3 linked regions of the Cricetulus griseus genome follow. The protein of the gene in region 1 binds, or shares a complex with, the protein of each later gene. Links are inferred from orthologs where the notes say so. Each region holds a gene or a part of one and is shown in the gene's direction. Other genes may lie near its edges. The genes, in order: Vipr1, Adcyap1 and Vip.

Region 1 (7,694 bases):
TAAAGTTGCCTTCATTCAGACGGCAATGTGGGTGGATGAGCTGGTGAGCCCTGGAACGGCGGCGGCTACCCAGGCGGCGGCTACCCAGGCTGCGTTTGTCACTGGCCTTGACTTAGCCCCCGTTGTGCAGGTGGAGGACGCTCCATGCTTCGAAGCTGCCCTTGTCATTCACCAGAGCCTCCTTACCATTGACTCATCAGCCACAGCGCAAGGCAAGGTGCTGACTAAGGCATCTGAGAGGTGGCTGCGGGCCTGGGGAGGCGCGGGTGGCACACGCCACAGGGATGCATCGGGCTGGAAGCCAGACAAGCGCAGATGAGTAACTGAAGATTCTTTCTGCTGAGCTCGTTGTCACGGGGAATGGCAAGTGACTGTCTCCCTTCTCCTCCACCCCCTGAATTTGCTGCACCCTGGTGATTCTGGCAACGAGAAGGGAGGTAGGTAAGGGGCTGAGCCAAAATCTGGGAACAGGTTGCAAGGATCCAGAACAGATCCGACTAGCAAGAGGAGCTTCGGGAATGGGAACAGACTGTGGTTCAGACTCTGCTGTGCAACTGTTCCAACCTAGATTAATGAAGCAAAGGCAAACAATAAGTACAGGGACTCAAGAAGGATCTCAAGACATGGTGGGGAAGGTGACTACACCCACTGCCATAGGTGCCATCTCCTCAGGCTCAGGTGCCTGCCCCCTCAGCCTCAGGAAGCCCACCTGCCTCCACCCCAGCTTCTGACATTTCTTCCCTCCTGAAGCCTTTCCTATTGCCTAGGTAAACAACAGGTGTCCTCTTCAGATTCCACAGGGCTCCCCAAGAGTAGGCTCATGGTTGATCTCCCAGTGTCTCAGGACACAGGGTTTGGGAGCCAGGAGTAGCCTAAGTTGAGTTATTAAGGCCCTGGTTTTTGTTTGTTTGTTTGCTGTTTTCCTGATCTTTTAATTTCTGAATGTGTCTTGTGTCCTACAATGGTAAGGAAGGATGGATTTCTCGAGGAAGAATACAGAACGAACCAAGAGTGGCTTTCATGGCAAGAGAATTGGAAGGAGCCGCCTTCCTCTCCTGGGGGTTGGGCTGGGAAGACACCAGGCCTGCAACCCCCAGCCTCAGAGGGATCAGTGTGGTCAGGGCAGCCTTCCACCCACCTAGTGAGGGTCACAGGGCAAAATGGGAGTCTAGCTCCCTCCCACCCTCCAGTCCCCACTCCCCTCCGTGTTCCCTAAAGCCCCCCTCCCAAGATCCTTGTGCAGAGAGAGCAAGTAAATGCTAACAGTCCCTTACGGTGAAATAGTGCAACATTTTGCAGGCTGGCCTGAAACCCGCTGCAATCCTTTTCCCTTGGCCCCCAGAGATCTGGGGTCACAGGCATGTGCCACCACGCCGCATTTGCTGATGGGGTCTCAGCATTCTGCAGCTGCCTAGGTGACATGTGGGTGTGGGCAGAGTCGAGAGCCAAAGCCCATGGGTTTAACGTAAGACCCCACTGCCTAAGGCCTGAGAGGACAGCACCGAGGGCCACAAGGAGAGGCAAACCATGGGTCCTGAGCTCACGGTGGCTCCCGAAGTCCTGTCCCGATGCTGACACATTGGAGGGCAACTACTGAACAGCTCCCTCCTCTGACATCCCCACCTCTGGAGAAAGGCCTGTGTCCAGTTAGCCCAATCTCTATAAGGAAGTAGAAACGGCAGGGAGCGCCCCCGGTATCCATTTACCTCCATGCCCTGATGTGTGTAGGAGGCCTGGCTGAGAATCCGAGACTAATAAAGTTCGGGGCAGAGAGAGCAAGGAAGGTGCGGTGCACTGATGTAGGGGATGAGGTGGGGGGGGGGTAGAAAGCTCCACCCAGCCAACAGAAATGGAGGAAGGCCAGGGGTCGCTTCCAGACTTTTCTGTAACCGTCCTCAAGGCCACGCCCACAGCCCTAGTTTCCCACGTTGCAGGTTGGGAAGGCCAGAGAGTCCTCGGGGAGATTCCCGCGCCCCTGCTGGCCAGAAAGCGCCTGGAGACGGACCTCCTCCAGAGGATCGCACACTGCACTGGCGCGCAGGGACACGAGGCTCTCTCCGTGTCTGCACCGCACCCGGGCCCTCCTCCCTCCTTCTGTCCCGTCGCGCCGTCAGCCCCCCACATCACCTTCTCACTGGGACCGCCCGAGCTCTCGGAAAGACGGGGCAGGCATCTGCCCTGGTTCCCTAATAAGTGGCGCGCAGAGAGCTCTGAGCGGGTGACTCCGCGCCCCACGCCAGCGCACAGTAAACCGAGTCCCAAAGACAAGCGTAGGAGGCAGCGCAGTCCCGGCTGGCCGGCCGGCGCGATCTTGGAGCCGCAGCGCGGGGCACCGCTCCCTGCTCCTGGTTCCTGGGGACCTCAGACTCTGGGAGGAAGGGTCTGCGGGCAGCCCGGGCCCGCGAACAGGTACAGCTTCGGTCCCCGCGCCGTGGCGCTGGCGCGTTGACTCCGCGTCCCTCGCAAGCTGCGCGGGCCGAGACGCGTCCATCTCTGAGTGCGCCCTGCGAAGGCCCTAGAGCGGCCTGGAGGAACCCCGGGTCAGGGCTCCCGGCTCCGGCTGCGCTCCCCTCGGCTTCTCCCCGGCCACAGACGGCTCCGGCAGCGCGATCCGCGGGACCCCGTTGGAACCCAGTCTGGAGCCCCGGAAAGCGGCGGACCCTTCTGGTCCAGCAATCTGGGCTGCGCGCGGCGTGGGAACCAAGGAGGCGGCCGCTCCTCTCCACCCACCCGGTCCCCGTCCCCCTGGAGCGGACGGCCGGAGGGGCGCGCTGCCGGGGACCGAGGGCCGGGGGCGCGGCCTGGGCGGGGAGAGCAGGTGCGGGCGCGGGAACGCCGAGCGGTGCGGAGCCGCTAGGACGACGCCAGCTGAGGCTCCCGACGACGCACACCGCTAGCGGACTCCGCGCTCACGCCCCCGGGCGCCCAGGCTCCGCCCCCTACCTGCGCCGAGGCCCCGCCTCCGCCGCGCCATTGGGCGACCCCGCTGCCCGTCAGACGAGCCCCCGCCGCCCTCTCCAGGCCGGAGCTGCGCCTCTCAGCGCGGGGGCCGCCGGCCCGCGCCTCTCTGCCGAGCTGCAGCAGCCGCAGACCCCGCAACCGCGGCGGCCGCCTGCGGCGGGCTCAGGGCGGACCATGCGCCCTTCGAGCGCACCGCCTGCCCGCTGGCTCTGCCTGCTGGCAGGAGCCCTCGCCTGCGCCCTGGGACCCGCGGTGAGTGTGCGCCCCTCCACCCGGATCCCCGGAATGAGGGAGCTGCGGGGGCGGAGGATCTGGGGCCATCTGGCCATCGGGGGGCAGCAGGAGCGCGGTTCTCATCTTCTCTCTCCACCCGGGACCGAGTCTAGCCCAGAGGCGTGGGAGCTCGATGGCACCGGGTCCCTCCCAGCACAGCCTAGAGGGCTCACCTCGGGGCGATCTCAGGCAGCGGTGGAGAGGTTGAGGGCGAGAGGGAGCCCCAGCCTGGCGTTGCGAGGAGTATCTGTGGGGGTGCGTGGGGAGGAGAGCTGGGGGTGGCAGGACCTGGTGAGATGGGAGATCCGGTAGACTGTGAGGTGGAAAGGAGGCTGTGAGGGTCTGCAAGCGTCTCTGGGCATTATGTGAACTTGTGGGATATGAAGACCTCCGCTAGCAGCAGATGCAGCGTTCATGCCTGTGGCCTGGGAAGGGGTCGTTGGTATCTTATGGGTGACAGGACTGTCCCCTGTGCTCTGCCTCCTCTAACTATAGGATGGTGGGCAGAGAAAGGTCAGAGTTGGTGGCAGGGACTGGCATGTGCTGGGGAAAGCAGGGGCCCTTGCTCTGCCTCCGACCTCTTCTTCCTCGCACACCGGTATGTGTGTGGGTGTGATCCTGTGGCTGTGGATGGATCGCCAGGCCTGTGGGGCAGATGCGGCTGGGTGGCCTTCTCTGAGAGTAAGGAGGATCTCAAGACTAGGTCTGCCCATTTTACAGAAGGGCAAATGAGGCCACAGGAGCCACACCTGTCCTCGCCAGCCGTACTTGGGTAGAGGTGATCGTCTTCCTCCCTTTGCTCCTGGCCTGTGGGTCTGCTGCTTCAAGACAGTCTTTTCCCAGGTGTTTTCTGGTGGAAACAGCAGGCTGTCTGGAGGAGGGCGGGGAATCTTGGTCACCTAGTGGGTTCTCTCCACGGTTACCTCCCCTTATCATCGCCTGCGCCAGAGCAGGAATTGGGAGGTGAATCTGTGTCCACCTAGCTGGTGTCTGGCACACCCTCACCTGGGAGGGCTCATCCTCTGGTGAAGGTGCAGCCCTCTGAGAACTGCCCCCTCCTCTAGTTCAGAGTCCCACCTCCTCACACTCCACACTCCGTCTAACTCTGTCTCTTCACGTCACAGTCTTCAGGCCACATAGCAGCAACTCTCCAGCTCTCCCAACTCCGGGTCCCAGCTACTCAGGTTCATTTTGGGGTCTTTGCACAACTGGAGGTCTCCAGGTGCCCTCCATCTGGACATAGCTTGAGCCCAGCCCCTCCAATCCCTTCTTCTTGTCTTCCCGGGTCTTATTCATTCAGCACCACTTCTGGTTTCCTCTTCCTGACTGCTTCAGATCTCCCACTCTGACCCCATCCTTCCGTTCCACTACCCGTCCCGTCTGAGCTGCTCTGCCCCTCATGTGGAGTCAGACTTACTGTCTGCTTGGTCCAGTTCAGGGCCCGGCCCACAAAAGAAGGGGAAGGGACTCCGCCTGGCCTGGAGGAGGGTCCCTGTTCTTGCCTTGCCATCCTTACTTGCTCCCTCCTGGAACGGACACCCAGTGTTCCTGCTCCAGCCGGACTTGGGGGGGACATGTTATCAGAGCCATAAAATGGCAGCTGCAGAGTTCACATTGAAGGCACAGAGCCTTATCGCTCTGTTTATGGGGCCCTGCCTTGGCCTGGGAAGGGAAATCTTTGAACAGGGAAGCCAAAAAAAAAAAAAAAAAAAAAAAAAAAAAAAAGGAAAGGAAAAAGAAAAGAAACCCTCTGGTGCCCGGTGTCCCAGAGAAGGAAGTAAAGTATGTCCCAAGGTCTCCCGTAGCTCCTGTCCCCCAGGGCAGCAGACAGATGCACAGTGCCAAGCTGGTGGGGACACTCAGACTAGAGACAGTCTGAGGTCCTTAAGAGTTTCCGCTGCAGGAGCACAGCACAGCCAGTGACTTCGAATGGATGTGGGGCACAGCCTCTAAGAACTGAGGGACGGGGCTGCTGTGACAGCAGACAGACAGACAGACAGACAGACAGACAGACAGACAGACCCCCTTGGAAGAAAAATGAAGTTTGGCTACATTGGCCAACCCTCAACTGTAAACTGTGAAAACAGCCTTTGCTAGCCTGGCCCCAGAAGGTGGAGAGAAGCCCAGTCCCTGGGTCCCCTTAGAACCTGGATGGCTGGGATGAAGGGCAAGGCTGGCTCCTCTGAGTATCCCCAGACAGGTGGAAGTCCTGCTTCTGAGGGTCACACCTCACTGGAGGAGTCCTTCCTGGCCACTACTATGAACCTTTCCAGGGTCCTCTCACTACTGCCCAGGCCTCTGGCCTCAGCAGACCTCACTGAACTTTAGGAAATATGGTGGCTACTGGGCCAGGCTACTTTCTGGACTAGAGACAACCTTAGTTATTCCTGTTCAGGACTCCCAGGGCCTCCCTGAAAGACAGAAGCCTCTAGAGGTTTATGCCTCCCCCTCCTAGACTCTGGAGGCCTAGCCTCCTCTGAGGCTTCTGCAGCTTGCATTGGGGTCACAGCTTAGGACTGGAGCCTTAAACCCTGTCCTACCCCACAGCCATGCCTAGTTGGCTTGGAAAACATCTCTAACCTCTATAGAAGAACCTGTTTTCCCCATTTCTGACTGGATGAGAGAACCCTGGGCCCAGTGTGAAGGAGAATTGGGAGGGCAGAGCTAGCCCCACTTTCTACTCTGAACCCTAGGTCCCACACGAGGCAGGGCTGGGTGTCCAGACAGCCCTGTGTGAACCCTGAAGGAAGAAAAGGTAGTGAGTTGTTGTGTGACCCACATGACAGGTCATCCCTGCTCCTTGATCCTTGAGCTTGGACCTTTATCCAGCCAGGGCAGGCAAGATCCATGGAGTGGGCGGGGTGTTCTCATGAGGTGTCTTAATGAGGTGACAGGGCCTCTTAGAGGAGGCCGGGCAGTAGTTGGCAGGACACATCCCAGTGAGGGAAGCCTTGATGGCAATTCGATTTGTGTTATTATACCAGAGCAGATCTTCTACCCGGGCACTGTCCTGCCATTACCAACCCCTTCACTGTGGCTGCTTGGGCACAGGTGAGGGTTGAAGGCTGGGGGCTAATGTGAGCTGTGGCCTTTTCTCAGCGTCTCACACTTTGCCTTCCCATTTGGATTCCCAACATTGTATGCAGGAGAGCCTCAATGCATAGCAAAATCTCTCCTGCTTCTCAGCAGTGCTTTGAAGAAAAGTTCAACGTTTCCACCACATGAATAGGTTTCTTTACTGTAAAAATGTTTCAAACATAAACAAGTAGAAAGAATATTATGATAAAGCTGTGAGTGGTGGCTCGTGCCTGTAATTCCAGCACTCAGGAGGCTGAGTTCAAGACCAGCCTGGGCCCCTCGATGAGAACTCGCATCAGGTCAATAAACAAGTAAGCATAGCACAATAAGGGACTGGAGAAATGGCTCTGTGGCTAAGAACAACACACTGCTCTGCAGAGCACACTCACAACCACCCATAACTCCAGTCCCAGGGCATCCAGTACCCTCTTGTGGCCTCCTTGTTTAGGTGTGTGATAGACATACAAATTCTAAGATACATACACATACACATAAAAAATAAAAAATCTTCATAAAAGGATAATATGATGAACATACAAATATTCCCTAGGTTTGACATCGGGTAACTTCAATGTTTAATTTTTACATCACCTGTTTATTTTGGCTAAAGTGTATTTAAGTCAATTAGAGGAATATTGGCCACTAGCCCTGGTTCCAAAGGCATCTCTAAAATCAAAGGCCATTTTCCTGTACGACACTCTGGTCCCTCCTCAGAGGACGGGCATGCTTACCTTCCCTCGTATCCAATGTTGAAATATTCTCCAACCACGCCGAAGCACCACAAAGTGAGCAGTGACATTCTCACAGGGCTGTCTTATTGCCGGGGCTCTTCTGTCTGACTGATGGGGTCAGACGGCCAGCTGGCAGGCATTTGAGGTGAGAGTGAGGTGCCTTGGCAGTGAGCATTGGGCAGCTTCCCCAGGCAGGACCGCCCTCTGTGCATTCTGTCTTGTGTGGTTCAAGGCACTAAGATCTGCATCTCTCAGGAAGCACACCTCTTCCTAGTCACCTCCAAAACAAGTTCTTCCTGCATGACAGGGCGTTGGAGGAGGGGAAGAGTCCACAGGCTGGCATCTGTAAGTTAAAGACTTGCAGCCTTGGGCTCCTTGGATGGTTGGTGTTCAGTGTTCCGCAGTTGGTACTAGTACTAGCAGCACCCACAGATCCTGGGTCCTCTTCCTCAGGGTGTCCAGGACAACAGGGGGGTTAAATTGAATATGTACCCTGTGAAAGGCTCCCTGCCCCCAGAGGAAACTTCCCAGCAAGTGCCCCAAGATCGAGCAGGCTGGGTGTCTCCACTGAGAGTCCAGCAACTATGAGATCTCTTGAAAGCTCTCTCTCTCTCTCTCTCTCTCTCTCTCTCTCTCTCTGTGTGTGTGTGT
Region 2 (7,476 bases), on another chromosome or scaffold:
TAGTTTGTTGAAAGTAGTCATTCTAAAGCTAGAAGGAAACTAAGAGGAAACAGACAGCTTTGGATCATTCATAGCAAGGAAATAAGGAAAGGTTTGATTCTTGGAGGAAGAATTAAATCTCAGAAAGTGGGAATAGCATTAAAACACTATGCTTCTGAAAAAGTATGCAGAACTAACAGCTTATTTAAGCACTAGCCCCAAATAACAGTAACAGGAAGCACTCCCACTTAATTGTAATTTCCTCTATTTTTGTGTGTGTATAGATCCAAATAGTTAAAATATACACTAATTGTTACTGATGCTTCTATTTCCTTTTAAAAAGAAAGACACTCAAGGTCTCTTAGTGGACCAGAAATTTATGAATCTTATGCAGGGGCTCAGAAGTTTCCCGGTGGATGTGGTTTTTCCTTATTGCATTCTTCTCATTTTAGTTTTAGTTAAAAATATTAACTATTCCCAGGGAACAGTTCCTGGTAGTAACCTTCACCAGGATAACCTGTGCTAGGAATCCTCCTGCATTCCCAGCCTGTATTTCCATAAACAGAATTCAACTTGTAAGAGAAGTGTAAGACACATTTCTCACTCTCACATTCTTAAATTTCAATTATTGCAGAAAACACGATGCCATGGCTTCAATTTTTAAAATCAGTAAGAGCCACAAAGACTGTCAAAGAGTGCAAACAAGGAAGGTAGATATTCAACTACCAGGACTAAGAAGAAAAAGCTCTGCGTTGAAATCTAAGGCAAGGATTAAGAAGGTTCTGAACACTGGGGCATTTGTGGACACAGGATGCAAGGGGAGATGGATCTGAACAGCGGGGTGATTTCGACAATGAATTGCCACAGTAAGAGCACCACTGCCAAACCTTCAGATTTAGAGGCTGTGGTGAAAATTAAGCCAGTGGCAATTTTTAACGTTTGTAGCATCTGCGCCCAACAGTTCAGCACTCAGAGCCTGGACAGCGCCACAGGCTCTGCTCTCAAGGCAGCCTTGTCTGTCTGGTCAATCCACTCAGAGACAGACAGTCAACACATCCAGACTCATTAGATATTTACTGAAAAATCCTTCAAGACTTCCCTTTAAAACACAAAACGACTTCCACATTTAATTGCCTAGCTGTAGTAGCATAAGCAAGAAATTAAGAGATCTAAATTAAATTTATTAATGAGAGAGTTTATTAAAGATCAGTGTTGTCCTCGAAGGGGCTTGAGTAAAAAGTAAAAAGAAGAGGCACAATAAAAACAGGACTTCACTATCCCCTACATTCCACGAATTCTTTACTTGACTTTGAGAAATGGGTGAAATAGAAAACCATCAAGATAATTGGACTTCTTAAAAATTGGATTGTGTGAGTGAAAGGTGTTTATGAGAAGCTGATGACTCCGGATCTTATCATCCTGGAGGACAGCACAGAATAGTTAATATGTTCCTTGAGGGACTAGGATGCTGACGTCTTTTACTGATACCGGATCATTACGTGACTGAAAAAAAAAAAAAAAAGGAAGTCATATCATGAATAAAAATCGGAGCGCAACAGTGCAATCAAAATATTCTGTACTTGAAGGCAATTGAAGACATATATTGACAAAGAGGTGTCTTGAAACCATATTCGGATAGCTTTTTTTGTGTTAACTGAATATATAAATACGAGCAGAAGGCCGGTCACCTCTGTCAGCAGCAGCAGAAGCCGCATCCTCAGACGCAGCAGCTTAAGACCTCGGAGCAGAGAAGGTGCCTTGGATTCTTGCTAGCTGCCCGATTCGCCTCCCACAGAGGCAGCCTGGGCTAGCCCTCTCCTTTTCCATCTTCCCTTCTTCCTGGACTTCCCCCCTTTTTCTTACCCACCAGCTTCTTTCCCCAGGCGGATTTAAGGCCACTCTGCTCCCCCTCCCTTTGGCTGCTCGCCTACTCTGTCTTCTACATCTCTCTCCTCGCCCACCTCCTTCAGTGTCACGCTCCCTTCTAGTTCTGTGCGTCTACAAAGTTTTGAGTGGAATTTTAGCCTCGGCAAACAAGTCCCCCCAGCTCCTCCAGCTAATTCCCGCGGCTTCTCTCCAGACACCAGCGCCAGACAGTGAGTGATGCCTCTTGAGTTTTGATTCCAGCCCGGAAACTCGAAGGAGCCCTTTGCCCTCCGTCCTACTTGGCAACCAACCCTCGCCTAGCCACGGTAAGAGTCTAATAGTAAGGGAGGGGGAAAACCTCTCACCATACCATACTAACCGATTCATTGACTACAGGATCCCTCCCCGTGCTGGCAGCAGCATCAGTGTACGAGTTAGCCTTCTTTAGTTCAAGGTTTGGCTAGTTGCTGAGTGCTGGGCACACATAAGCTTTTTTTTTTTTTTTTTTTTTTTTTTTTTCCCGAACTATACCAAGGGAGAAGTGGCCAGACGCACTAGCGTGGCTAAGTGGCGTTCAATACAGGGAGCAGCAGCTTTGCTGGCTCCCCCAGCTCCCTAGAGTTTCTTGAGGTTAGAAGGTGGGAAGCCAGGGGCGATTTCACTCACTGCGTTCCCTCTTTTTTCTCCTGCGCAGAATGACCATGTGTAGCGGAGCAAGGCTGGCCTTGCTGGTCTACGGGATAATAATGCATAGCAGCGTCTCCTGCTCACCTGCCGCAGCCGGACTCCGTTTCCCTGGGATCAGGTAGGTGCAAGTCTAGGCTGAGCTAGATCCTCCCTTCGCCAGACACCTCCCGGTCGCCTCCCTGCAGTTCTGGATCGCAGGCTGCTAAGCATCGCTTCCTGTGTGTCCAGGGCATTTCTACAGCCTTTGGCTAGGTACCAGGTCCCTAGCTAACCCTGGGGGTTAGAAAGGCTCTAGTACAGCTAGACTCCCTCCTTCCTCACCAGTGGAGCCCAGGAACCCAGGTAAAGGGAGTGAGTTTCCGACCCTTGTAGAAACCTTTCCTTGTCTAACTTGCCCAAGGGAGGGGGCAGGGTGCCCCTTACTCCGCTCAGCTTCTTTTTATTTATTCTTAGGACGAGTTGGAGAACTTCAGCTCCCATAGAAAAGCCCGGGGCTGAGAGTGAAGCTCTCTCCACTTTGCTTTGTTACTGCCTATTCTAGACTATTGGGGCGGGGTCTCTATCTCCTCCGCCCTTCCTGTTGTCTCATATAAATTCTTTTCCAACCATAACAGCTCTCTTCCAAATGAATTCTGTTTCGACTACAGTTTGAGCCCTAGACGTCTTGTGTGTGTGTGTGTGTGTGTGTGTGTGTGTGTGTGTGTGTGGCCGGGGGGAGGGGGGTCTCGGCTAGCCACGGTTAAAGAAAAGCTACTTGATAGACGGAAAACACAAGAAGGAGCGAGGGAGGGGGAATAAACGGATGTGAAGAAAGGAGAAAAAGCCAGCAGGCTGGAGGGGTTGGGGGACAACCTAGCCCACTTGAGGATGCAGAAAACGTAGTTTTTATCTTGGCATCTGCTTCTAATGAAGAGGCGCTGCCCGGGTTCCCTACCGTAGCCTCAGAACCACCCCCCCACCCTTATGCGGGACAGTGGAAATGTGTGATTCCGCGTCGATGGGTGCGGGGCGGCACTGAGGGCAGCCAGGAGCGCTCGCGTTGACGTTGAGTTTACTCTTGCAGCCGCGCCCAAGAACCTCTGCCCTAGGGGGCGTCTGCCCATTGATGTGTTGGCAGACAGGAATCCTAGCTTCTTCATCAGGATTCTGGCACGTGGGCGCTGGGAAGAGCAGGGGGTGGCTAGAAAGATCCTGGGTCTGGGGCTTGGTCGGGGCTTGGTCTGGGGGCATAGGTTGTGTGTGTATGTGGGGAGCCTGGATGTGAGCGGTGCGGAGGATCTTATCTGACTCTGGCTTCTCCAGGGAGGGCTGAAAGGTGATAGAGCGGCCCAAGTACGACTGGACCCTGCCTGAATAATGTTATTTGTCCCTATTGCATTCCACATATCCCCAAGGTCCAAAAGTCACCGGCTTTGCATTTTTGTCCTCTTCTGCCTGTCCTCTGTCGGGAATGGAGGCGGTAGGTGAGGAGACTGTAAGATGGCTGGACACCTACGGAATGTCAGTTCCCAGTCGACCCCTTTCCTTCCTCTGGGGTTGAGATGGAATTCAGCCTCCCCCATTGCTAACGGATCATCAGGAACTCTTTGTTTAATGGACTGGAAAGCCCTCTTTCACCTCTGGCTATTCGCAAAGTTCCCTGTGCCTAGCACTTTTCCTGGGTGATAGGCACTGGAGCTCTCTGCCGCACCACAGAATGAGCCAAACTAGCTAAGTTTAGGGGCATCTATTATTCATGTTCCTAGCAGATTCTCTCCAGTCTAAAATAGAAGCTGGAGGTTCTCTGTGACCTACATCCGCGCGGGGAAGGGCTCCCCTGGGCTGGGCGGCTTGGATGGGGGTGGCTCCTGCCGGAGTTGGCCTCCTGCATCCTACCTACCCATCCATCACTTCATTCCGCTCTGAGTCTCCCCGTCTCTGCTCATATCAACTCGTAGGATCTTTCCCGTGCGTTCTAAATGCTTCTTGGGGGAAGCCTGGGGAGCCAGGAGGGGAGAGGGCTGACCTTTCACTTGGCCAGGTATTGGGGTCTACAAGGTTGTTTAGTCCTCTTGCCGGGGACCTGAGGAGATGTGAGCGAATTTCCTTGTGGGGAAGGAAATGATGCTGGGTGCAGTTCCCTTATCTCGTTCCTAGGACCATTCTGGAAGAAAGGATAATTCTCCGTGGGGGGCCATAACGAAGAAGGAAAATCAATGGGACCTTCTTGGTGCCTGGTAGAATTGGGAAAGAACTTTTAATGACCCTCCTTCTGGCTATCTCGCAGACCAGAAGATGAGACTTACGACCAGGACGGAAACCCTCTGCAGGACTTCTATGACTGGGACCCTCCGGGCGTAGGGAGTCCCGCCTCCGCTCTGCGTGACGCCTATGCCCTCTACTATCCAGCGGACAGGAGGTGCGTGGCGGGAGGGACCCGGTAGTGGCTCTAAAACTAGGGCACTTCTCATGAAAGTCCTTAAGCCTCCCTTCTACCTGGGTGAATCCATGAGAGCCACAGAAAATTAGCAGGCAGATTCCTGTTAACCTGAGGCCGCACCACGGGCAGAAAGCTCTGTGGCAAGAGAGATGTCAGTGAGTGTGTAACTCGATTGGTGAGAGCTCTCAGGCCAGCGAGGTCACCCCAGAGGTCAAGGATAAACCCCATCTTAGATTCACCCCCCAGGGGCTTCCCAAAGTAACTCCCAGGTCCTGTGTCACTAGTGGTTGTTGGGTGGGTGCCTTGGCTGTCATTTGAAGGGCCGAGGCAGTGAGTGACCCAGGTCGCATACTTTGTCTCCCCCATTAGAGATGTCGCCCATGAGATCCTTAACGAAGCCTACCGCAAAGTCTTGGACCAGCTGTCCGCCCGGAAGTACCTGCAGTCGGTCGTGGCCAGGGGCGTAGGGTAAGAGTTTGTGACAGAGTTAACCAGCGAGTGATGTGTGCGCCAGGGCGGGTGACGGTACTGAGAGCGTGTAGGGAGGGCGGGGCAGCTTCTACGTTTCTGTACTCCAGCACGCCTGAGCGCCTGAGGGTGTGTCTGCGTCCGGGCATCTAGGTGGTTATTACCAGCCTCGGGCGGAGTTCTGAAAGTTGGGCGTTTAAATTTGTCCTAAGAGCCACAGACCCGGTGAGAGAGAAAGAGGGTAGGAAATTGAACCGAGAACCAAGCCAAGCTAAGCAAGTTAACCCCCTTCCCAGTCATTCAAAACCCTCGAGGTTTGCCCTAATTTGGGGGAGGAGCATTACGTTTTCTATAAAGGCCAACCTAAGGAACAAAGTCCTCGAATTGGATACTTCAAAGAAACAGTTTTTGCTCGGGCTAGACAAACCCAGGGCTAAGGTCTTGTATGAAGCTTGTGTCAGCAGAAGGCAACATTTAAATAAAGCCCACAGGGAAGCCGATTACATTTAAACATGAATAATTCATGCAGTGAAAAATATTGCCTACAGCTTGTCGCCTTAAATCACTGTCACGTTTTTCAAGTTAACATAGGCAAAGATAGAGAGAGGCGTGCCCGTGTTTGCCTAGATTTGGGGAATCGTTAACTTGGCAAAAGCCAGCGAGGCCTTTAGGAACCTTTGTATGTCGGGTGGTGGAAAGGTACAAGTCCAGACAATTTAGCTAGCAGCATGGATAGTGCAGTCTTGAGAAGAAACGTTTGGAGAAAAGATTAAAGAGCGCGTATTCTCCGGTCGCCCTGGGATGCTTCAGAAATACCTAGAAAGATGGGAGAGATCTAGTGCCAGGAAACTGTGGGTGGGAAGGAGGTTCCCCGGGGTCTCCAGCACAGTATTCCTGCCAGCTGGGGCGCCGGCAGAGGAGGGCAGCGCCGGGAAGTTCGGAGTTCTGAGGACTCCAGCGTGGGGGTGGGGCACACTTGTTTCCTTCGCACTCACTCAACGGGTCTCCCGCCCCGCCCCCTCTCCCCGCCCCCTCTCCTTGCAGCGAGAACGTAGGCGCCAGCGCAGCGGACGACCGGGCTCCCCTTACCAAACGCCACTCGGACGGCATCTTCACCGATAGCTACAGCCGCTACCGAAAACAAATGGCGGTCAAGAAATACTTGGCGGCTGTGCTAGGGAAAAGGTATAAACAAAGGGTTAAAAACAAAGGACGCCGAATAGCTTACTTGTAGCGATGAGTTGCCAGCTACGGTGTGTATAAAATGAAAAGTCGTTTTCCAAATTGACTGACCAATCATCGCTCATGTGTTCTTTCCAAACATGTATTTATGTATGAAGTAAAGCCATTAAATGACTATTTTGATAATAATATTGTTTTTCTTTTTACGAAGCACTAGAGAATGCACAGATATACTTTGTGGACCAATTATTGATATATATTATAAACATATATTAAGAATATATATAAGTATAACAGAGAGCAATTCATAAGCGTGCACAAGGATTGAAAATTCGCCTGAGCTGTTTATGTTTTTATATAAAATGAATAGAAAAAATAGACAATCATTGTTTTGAATATTACTCCTATTTTTGTAAACTGGAATTAAAGGATAGTATTTTTATCCACACCAGGCCTGAAGATACCAATAATGGCCATTTGCTACTGTACAAAAACAATGATACCCTGCTCCAGGGGAATTCTGAAGTAATGACTGGGGGAATTGCTGAAGGGCTTTCTTTCCCTGTGAGTCTCTGGGGCAGGCTGTTTGAACCCCAGCCTAACTCAAGCGGGCATTGTCCCACTGGCTGCGGGCAATTCCAACACTTTTGCTTTTTTTGATTCTAATTTTATGTGTATTTGTCTCTCCTCAGACTCTCAGCCCAGAGGAAATTCTAATTAAACAACAACTAGATCCAAATTGTGCTTCTCCCCAGAATTCAAGTCATTCCCTGGGATGAGAATTGAGGAACTGTACAGTGGAGACCGGCTTGGAGAGAAAGATCTCTTTTCTGTACTTCCCGATTCTCCAGGGAACCGACTATCCCAAAGCTAGG
Region 3 (7,667 bases), on another chromosome or scaffold:
TGATGGGAGAAAAATTATTGCAGAAATATATCATGGTTACTCTTCATGAATGCTTCTTAGACCAAGTGGTGAGCAATCCCATTTTTCTGCTTATCATTCAGGATCGATTCCTCTGTGATCCTAATCTACTTATTTTGCCTGTGCAGCTTTTAAATGAAATTCACTGAGGATTTGGTGACAATGAGCTCAGAATAAAAAATTCGAAACCATTTTAACCAGTTTGTAACAATTGGGAAAAAAAAAATCGGTTTCCTGGTAAAAGCCAAGAAACTACTGTAACTCTGGCTTTGGTGGTGCAAGCCCTCGGGAGGCAGAGGCAGGTGGATCTCTGGGAGTTCGAGGCCAGCCTGGTCTCCAGAGCCAGTGCCAGGATAGGCTCCAAAGCTACACAGAGAAACCCTGCCTGGAAAAACCAAAAAAAAAAGGGGGGGGGGAAGCGTTTTCCTTGGGTTTTATAATAATAGACTATCCATGACAAATTCAATATAGTAATTTTCCCCAAGGTTAACATAAGGAAAAACGTCTCTACATTAGCTGGTCAATGGAGCTCTGGTTTTCTCCCCATTCCTTTAAACAAGAGAAAACAAAACAGAAAGAAAAGCATTTTTGTAAAAATCTGTGAGTTAAGACTTTGAACTGTAGATGGTGCTGTGATTCTGTTTTAAATGATTTTGTCCTGTTTAAATTTGTAGCCCAAACTAATTCTTTGATTTAGTCTATTTTCCTCCATAGGTGAGGCAATTAAATTCTCTTTATTATCTTGTTTTATTGTGGTGATGGGAGAAACCGTCTTCATTATTGCAGAAATATATCATGGTTACTCTTCATGAATGCTTCTTAGACCAAGTGGTGAGCAATCTTGATGTCATTTTTCTGCTTATCATTCAGGATCGATTCCTCTGTGATCCCTAATCTACTTATTTTGCCTGTGCAGCTTTTAAATGAAATTGTTTCACTGAGGATTTGGTGACAATGAGCTCAGAATAAAAAATTCCATATGAAACCATTTTAACCTCTAGTTTGTAACAATTGGGAAAAAAAAAAAAAAAAAAGGTTTCCTGGAATTAAGCCACAGGAACTCTGGCTTAAGTCAGAGCTGTCAACTGGAAAACAAAATTCCAGACATTTTGAAATTTAATTCATTTAATTTTTCTTGTAACTGGATTAGAAAATATGATTAAGCCTAGCAAGACAACTCTCACTGCATCAGTCAGCCTTGAATGCTGCAAGGAGATACTAAAATCATAGAGTAGAAGAAAGTAAAGGAGATTGAGAGCTATATTTCCCCAAGGAAAATACAAAAGGAATGTAATAGAAGGCACACACCAGGACTTTTAAAAGATAGGACATTGTCTTTGTTTTCTGTGACACTCTTAGGATAGCTGCATTTTGACGTTAAGTCCCAATTAAATGTATGTCAGGCTACTTTGGGTGCAAAGTCAAGAAAAAGAAATTAAGCAGTCATCACAGAACTCTACAAAGGTTTCAAACCAGCTGATTTTTTGGAATTACCTTTATGTAAAGTGACAAAGTCAGGGATGTTAAATCCTGAAGTAGGGAGAATTCTGAGGGCAGTGCGAGAAACAAAGGAATTCAACATTACGCAAAGACTTAAAATGAGGAGGATACCTTTGAAGAGAAAGAAAACTTCAATCCCTGGAGTATACAGTCTGATCACTATTTATCCTTGGAACATCTGATATAAGATGTGAAGGAAAGCAGTGGGAATTACAGTGTTTTATACAAAGCATGGGAGAGCGATAATGCCATTGATTAGACAATGATTTGCATACTATACCATCTTAATGTAATGGAGCTTTTTCTGAGGGCTAGCTTCAACATAAAGGAAATGTAATAACAGAAAGATGCAAAATAATTTGTGGTTGCTTTTAAAATTAGAATATTCTTCAAGAAAACATTCTGATGTGCACAAAGATGAAAAGGCATTAAGAGAATTGACACTTTGCAAAAAAAGGAAGGATTATACTGTAAGCATAGCAAATACAAGTGTTTGTTTTCTGCATTTTTTTTCTACAAGCAGTCCTTATTTTCTAAGGAACCCCCAAGGCCTTGGGCTATGGCAGTATAATCACCCTCTAATTCTTGACAACTGAGTAAAGATTAAAGCATTGCACATCCAGCTCGGCACTTTTTGTTTAAAAAAAGTACATTTCCTGTATCTTGAACTTCTTTGCTATAAATGTATATAAATCAGGCATGATGACAATTTAATAAGAACTTCAAGACCTGTTCATCCCATGGGATCACCACTGTGACGTCTTTCGGGCAGCCTTCTGATTGCTCAGCCCTAAGCAAGAGCCCTATAAAATGAGGGACTTTGAAATGCTGGTCAGGTTGGAGTGCAGAGCCCTAGCTGGCAACAGCCACCCATTCCACAGGACCGGGCAGACTGGTGGAGCCTTCTCCCAGCCAGATCTTCAGCACCCTAGACAGCTCCCACTCTCCCCAAAGACAGTCCTGCCTGAAGGGTAAGTAAAATCTTCCGTTTCTTCATTTCCTCTCTGTCTTTGGGACTTTTATAGGAGGGTTTTTTCCTCTCTCTCTTAAAAAGAATTTTACAGTATTCATTTTTTTCAATAGAAAAATGAAATGATAATGATAAGACACTCGATAAAGGTAGAAATACCTCAATTTCTTTCATCTGAACCCATCTGTTTAGAAGATTCTTAGTCCTACCTAACCTTTGTTAAATATTGCCTCTTTTAAAGTGAAGGAAGATGAATTTGCTTGTGTGTGGAGTTTTAACCAAAGGGTTCAGTTGTTGCATTTGTTTTTGAGGTTTTCAACTTATGCTTAAAGTGCTTTTTCATTCTGTTTCTTGTGTTGATTAGACCTGGGAGGAACTCACTTTCTTCATCATTTACATTTTAAAAGCTGTGACTTTTATAGTTATTGAAAGTCAGAATCCTTGAACACCTGTATGCTAGTTAGAAAGTGTTTAGAAATACAATGTGTGAATGTATGGAATGCAAGACTCATAGGCTCTACACACACACACACACACACACACACACACTATTTTCTGAGAAAACTTGTACCAACACCAAATGGCTCTGAGGGCATTAGCTTTCATCCTTGAGTTCATTTTCTTGAGCCTTAGCTTAAAGAAGAAAGTTCTCCATGATATCTATAATGAATGCAGGGAAAAAAAGAATTTAACTATAATATGTATACAAGATTTTTGCCTTAATGATGCATATCTATACTTTATATCCATATATGCACATATGAACATGCAAACTTGCCAATGTAGTTGACTAGAAATCATTGCATGGGTAGCACTCAAGTTTTATAGTAATCAGACATTAAAGTTTAAAGGGGAAAAAATTCCTTGAAGCTCTTTCCTTCACCAGAAAAGACACCAGATTGTATATTACAACTGTGTTATCAAAACACTGGGTCTGTAGTTAGTTATGTGCAGCACAACAGGAGTGTAGTCTCAAACAGACACTAACTGTGACTGAGTGCCTGCTGAGAGAAAGACAAAGGGGATCTTAGTTTGTATTCAAATGTCTTAACTCAAGGGAAATCTTTATTTTTAAAAGTAATCTTACAACAATAAGCTTAATACTTTTCTGAAGATGAAATGGCTTTTTCTCAACTCTGCAAGAGCCTTCAGAAGTATTGATAGACCCTCAGAATGTTGCCAAGTGTAGCTGGGAAAGCCAGTATCCCTTCTCTTTCCAGAGGCACCGAGATGGAAGCCAGAAGCAAGCCCCAGTTCTTGGCATTCTTGATGCTCTTCAGTGTGCTGTTCTCTCAGTCACTGGCCTGGCCTCTCTTTGGACCACCCTCTGCTGTAAGGTAAGTCTCATTCTGAGAAAGTGCACTCTCAATTCAGATAGGCAGGCATTTCCTCTGTATCTAAATGAGATTTCCCACATGTCATTTTGGAGAGTGGTGCATTTTAAATTACATATTATTTTACTTTGATCACCGTGTTACACAGATTCATTTCCAACCAAACTTAAAAGGTTTGTTCTGGGCTCCAGAATTCACCTTCAGTATATGGAAGACAACATCAGCCTTGCCCACCAGATAGACCCCATTTCCAAACTAGTGTTAGAAAACAAACAAATTCCTATGCTTTTTTCAATCTCAGGCCAGTTCTGTTTCTGGTAGAAAAATAGTTGTTTACTTGCCAGCTTCATTTAAATTGATATTTAATAAAAATGACAATAAGATTAATAGTTCATTAATGAGATATGCACACCTGAAATTTTCTTGGGCAGAAATAGGTCCAGGAAGAACCACCTTGCCACTATTAGAGATCATGAGAAAGTATATGAACTAAACTACAGTCCTCATAGTATTCTCTATTCAAACTATGAGTTCTTAGTTTTACTATTTGATATATAGAAGGTCATGCTTCACATTCATAAGGAATGCAACTCAATTTAACCTAAAGAAAAACAGATTTATGTTACTAGTCATTTCATACTTGACATTTCTAATCTACAGAGTCACTGTTATCTAAAGGCAAATCACCATTTGGTTATTTGCTCCATCTTATGCTCAGTATAGTGAATAGTCTCTCAGCTATTAATGTTCTCTGAGAAATTGTAAAACACACTGCCCACGCCCCACCCCCCAATCACGATTTGGAAACTAGAGTCCCAATGCCCAGATCTCAGCAGATGAACAGTCTCAGGAATGCTGAAATTCACACTGACTTCTCAACCCCAGGCTATGAGATGATTGTTTTTTACTATCTGCTTCAGCACCACCCAGAGATACAAAAGTGCCCAAGAGCTGAGATTTACCCTAATTTTGAACACACATATATACTCTCTCTCTCTCTCTCTCTCTCTCTCTCTCTCTCTCTCTCTCTCTCTCTCTCTCACACACACACACACACACACACACACACACACACACACTCTCACACACACATTTTTAATACAGTACTGGTATCAAAAATACAGATGCATCCACAAGTAGTTTATATTCTATATGTCATAAAGGTGATTCTTATTTTGTAGTACAGCATAATACATTTCTAATCAGAATATGCTAACATGTGTAATATGAAGAACTAGAGGGACTCATTAAATTTGCTACATTGTAATAACCACTCACAAATGTGGAGATCTTTAGGTGTGATCAATAAGGAGAAATATATCTTGCTGACATAAAGCTTTGTGGTACATGTCAGGGAACCAGAGAGAGGAAAGCAGCTTATAAGCTACTCCTGGCCTGAATTTGAGCAATTGGTACTAAATATCACCACTTATATGAATAAGTATCAGTTATCATGTTGAATGTTCACTTTTTATATGTTTATATCTTGTATAATGCTTTCTACCTGCTAGTGTTACTTCACAAATGGACATAGTCAGGTATGCTGATGCAATCAATGTGCTTTGCTTACAGCTTCACTAGAATTGAATAAAGTAGAAATTATGTTTGGTTTTAAAAGCTTATCGAAGTTGAATGACATCAATTTTGTGAGCTCACCCAAATTACTACTTATATCTTCATTAAACATGGAAGCTATGGAGTCAAATTATCCTATTCTTATTCTTGCAAATGGATACTATGTCCCAATATCTTCTTCTCCTGTCTCAAATAGTTGCAGGACCATAAACACCACTTTCTAAGAAAGGATGGTATTGCATTTCTAGTGTGTTTTGCCTTAATAGGTTGGATGACAGGGTGCCGTTTGAAGGAGCAAGTGACCCTGATCAAGTGTCATTAAAAGCAGACACTGACATCTTACAGAATGCCCTAGCGGAAAATGACACACCCTATTACGATGTATCCAGGTAAGTTCACTCTTATGTATCTATTTCAGAAACACATGTGAAAAAGATTAAATAGTCTAGTTTTATCTTACCAAGAGACAGTTTTCCATGACTCTGCTCAGCCTGATTGGCATAAATTGCCTTACAGCCTTCAGGCATCATTCAATAGCTCAGATTAGACAAATGCCAGGTCAAACTCCCACAGCTAGGATTCCATGAGTGAACAAATAAAAGGGGTCAAGATATCCAATAGTGCTGTTCACTCATGCAACTTCTTGTCTAGAGCAGTGTCTCAGAACAGACCACAAACGACGTCACACTGAAGGCAAGGTATAAAAGGTTCCTCTTGTGCTTACAAGATTCACTGGTAGACCCAAGGTTTGCTCTGTTGCAAGAGATTTGTTTCCTCATTATTTTTGGTGGCAAAGAATAATTAAAACACAGAATACTGGCGAGTTTGACCAAATTTACATGGTTTTTTTTTCATTGTATATATTTTTATTTAAGGTAGCAGCTTCTAAAACTCCATAAAAATATAGAAACCATAAATGAATTTTAAAGCAAGGTTTACTAGGAAAATTCATTTTAAATATCCTGTCAGGGAATAAAACTGAAGCACATATCTAAAATAGCTCATTTTTTTTCAAGGTAGCTAGAAGCTTATAGTTTATATCTTGCTCCAAGCAACTAGGAACTTCCTTTTGCTATGGTGCTAGACTTCATTTTTGACTTAAGTTTTAGTAAGCATTTCTGTAAGTAGTTTTCAGATTCCTTTGATAACTCTGCAGGAGATTTTACCAAGCAATTATTGTGCTTGCTTCCTTGCTTTAGAAATGCCAGGCATGCTGATGGAGTTTTCACCAGCGACTACAGTAGACTTCTGGGTCAGATTTCTGCCAAAAAATACCTTGAGTCACTCATTGGAAAACGAATCAGGTAAAGAGTACTTATTATTTTTTAATAAATGCTCCATCTCCAAATTCTGTTTTCCTTTCTTGAATGTTATTTTCCTTGCCCAAGGCTGAAACTCTTTGATTACAATCAACTTATTTAGAGAAAATAATGTATGTTATTAAATAAAACACACCAGCCCCCACCCCACTCCCCAGTGAAATAGAGTTTTTGGTACTTATGGACTCTAAATGTATTTTTCTTAAGACGCATATTTACAAATGAGTCAAACTGAGCTAAAATCAGTAAAAAAAAAAAAAAAAAAAGAGCATTGATGCATCTCCTACTTTCTATTGACATCTTTACTTTCATTTTTTCTCACTTTTTTTTAGCAGTAACATCTCGGAAGACCCAGTGCCAATCAAACGACACTCGGATGCAGTCTTCACGGATAACTACACCCGTCTTAGAAAGCAAATGGCTGTAAAGAAATACTTGAATTCCATTCTGAATGGAAAGAGAAGGTAAGGGAAAAGATAACCGGATGAAGTGAAAATATGTAAATGACCTTCAAACTTTAAGCTCTACTTGGAGACATCTCACTTTCTCCATCACATGGTCTACTTTGTGTGAACTGCTCACTCATTCTCGACTCAAACTGATGTCATACTTCCCTGGCAAACCTTTAAAATACGGGCACATGAATGTTAGCCTACAGCCATTAGAAAGCAGTCTCCCTGGGAATACTGACCTGGAAACTCCATTTGAATTTATAAGTCAACAGGGTTGAAAATGATGGCTATTTTGTCATCGGGGGCAGTTTAATCAAATGTTCGCTTTTAAAATATGGAAAGTACAATTAACAATTTTGGCAAGCAGGAGAACCCTATCATATTTGATCCAACAACCCTGCTTTATCACATTTAACCAGGATGTATCTCCTGTTCCAGTTCTAAAAGCATGTGTCTTATAGTGTGTAAATATTGGACACAGTAATAAGGGGTAGAATGC

Evidence for each region.
Region 2: the proteins of Vipr1 (region 1) and Adcyap1 are in contact, whole or in part, in a cryo-EM structure (PDB 8E3Y), measured with the Homo sapiens proteins. The link is inferred for Cricetulus griseus from reciprocal best matches to the Homo sapiens genes VIPR1 and ADCYAP1. Residues at the interface, in NP_004615.2 of Homo sapiens: Glu36, Val40, Ile43, Asn69, Leu70, Ile89, Phe90, Phe93, Ile120, Gly123, Leu124, Lys127, Asp132, Gln135, Thr136, Tyr139, Val142, Lys143, Tyr146, Tyr150, Arg188, Val192, Lys195, Phe200, Glu204, Ser205, Cys208, Phe222, Gln223, Val226; in NP_001093203.1 of Homo sapiens: His132, Ser133, Asp134, Gly135, Ile136, Phe137, Thr138, Asp139, Ser140, Tyr141, Ser142, Arg143, Tyr144, Arg145, Lys146, Gln147, Met148, Ala149, Val150, Lys151, Tyr153, Leu154, Ala155, Val157, Leu158.
Region 3: the proteins of Vipr1 (region 1) and Vip are in contact, whole or in part, in a cryo-EM structure (PDB 8E3Z), measured with the Homo sapiens proteins. The link is inferred for Cricetulus griseus from reciprocal best matches to the Homo sapiens genes VIPR1 and VIP. Residues at the interface, in NP_004615.2 of Homo sapiens: Glu36, Cys37, Val40, Ile43, Asn69, Phe90, Leu92, Phe93, Tyr118, Ile120, Asp125, Asp126, Asp132, Gln135, Thr136, Tyr139, Val142, Lys143, Tyr146, Tyr150, Arg188, Lys195, Phe200, Ser202, Glu204, Ser205, Gln207, Cys208, Met219, Phe222; in NP_003372.1 of Homo sapiens: His125, Ser126, Asp127, Ala128, Val129, Phe130, Thr131, Asp132, Asn133, Tyr134, Thr135, Arg136, Leu137, Arg138, Lys139, Gln140, Met141, Ala142, Val143, Lys144, Lys145, Tyr146, Leu147, Asn148, Ile150, Leu151, Asn152.

What each region holds. Positions count from the first base shown.
Region 1 is NC_048597.1:228,641,898-228,649,591, forward strand, and holds the start of Vipr1 (vasoactive intestinal polypeptide receptor 1), read left to right. Parts: upstream 1-3,135; coding exon 3,136-3,213; intron 3,214-7,694. UniProt on the Homo sapiens protein: G protein-coupled receptor activated by the neuropeptides vasoactive intestinal peptide (VIP) and pituitary adenylate cyclase-activating polypeptide (ADCYAP1/PACAP).
Region 2 is NC_048595.1:461,365,837-461,373,312, reverse strand, and holds Adcyap1 (pituitary adenylate cyclase-activating polypeptide), read left to right. Parts: upstream 1-2,540; coding exon 2,541-2,650; intron 2,651-4,798; coding exon 4,799-4,930; intron 4,931-5,320; coding exon 5,321-5,419; intron 5,420-6,463; coding exon 6,464-6,653; downstream 6,654-7,476. UniProt on the Homo sapiens protein: PACAP is a neuropeptide involved in diverse array of physiological processes through activating the PACAP subfamily of class B1 G protein-coupled receptors: VIP receptor 1 (VIPR1), VIP receptor 2 (VIPR2), and PACAP type I receptor (ADCYAP1R1).
Region 3 is NC_048595.1:283,195,570-283,203,236, forward strand, and holds the start of Vip (VIP peptides), read left to right. Parts: upstream 1-3,718; coding exon 3,719-3,825; intron 3,826-5,663; coding exon 5,664-5,786; intron 5,787-6,596; coding exon 6,597-6,701; intron 6,702-7,048; coding exon 7,049-7,180; intron 7,181-7,667. UniProt on the Homo sapiens protein: PHM-27 and PHV-42 are two bioactive forms from proteolysis of the same precursor protein, that cause vasodilation. PHM-27 is a potent agonist of the calcitonin receptor CALCR, with similar efficacy as calcitonin.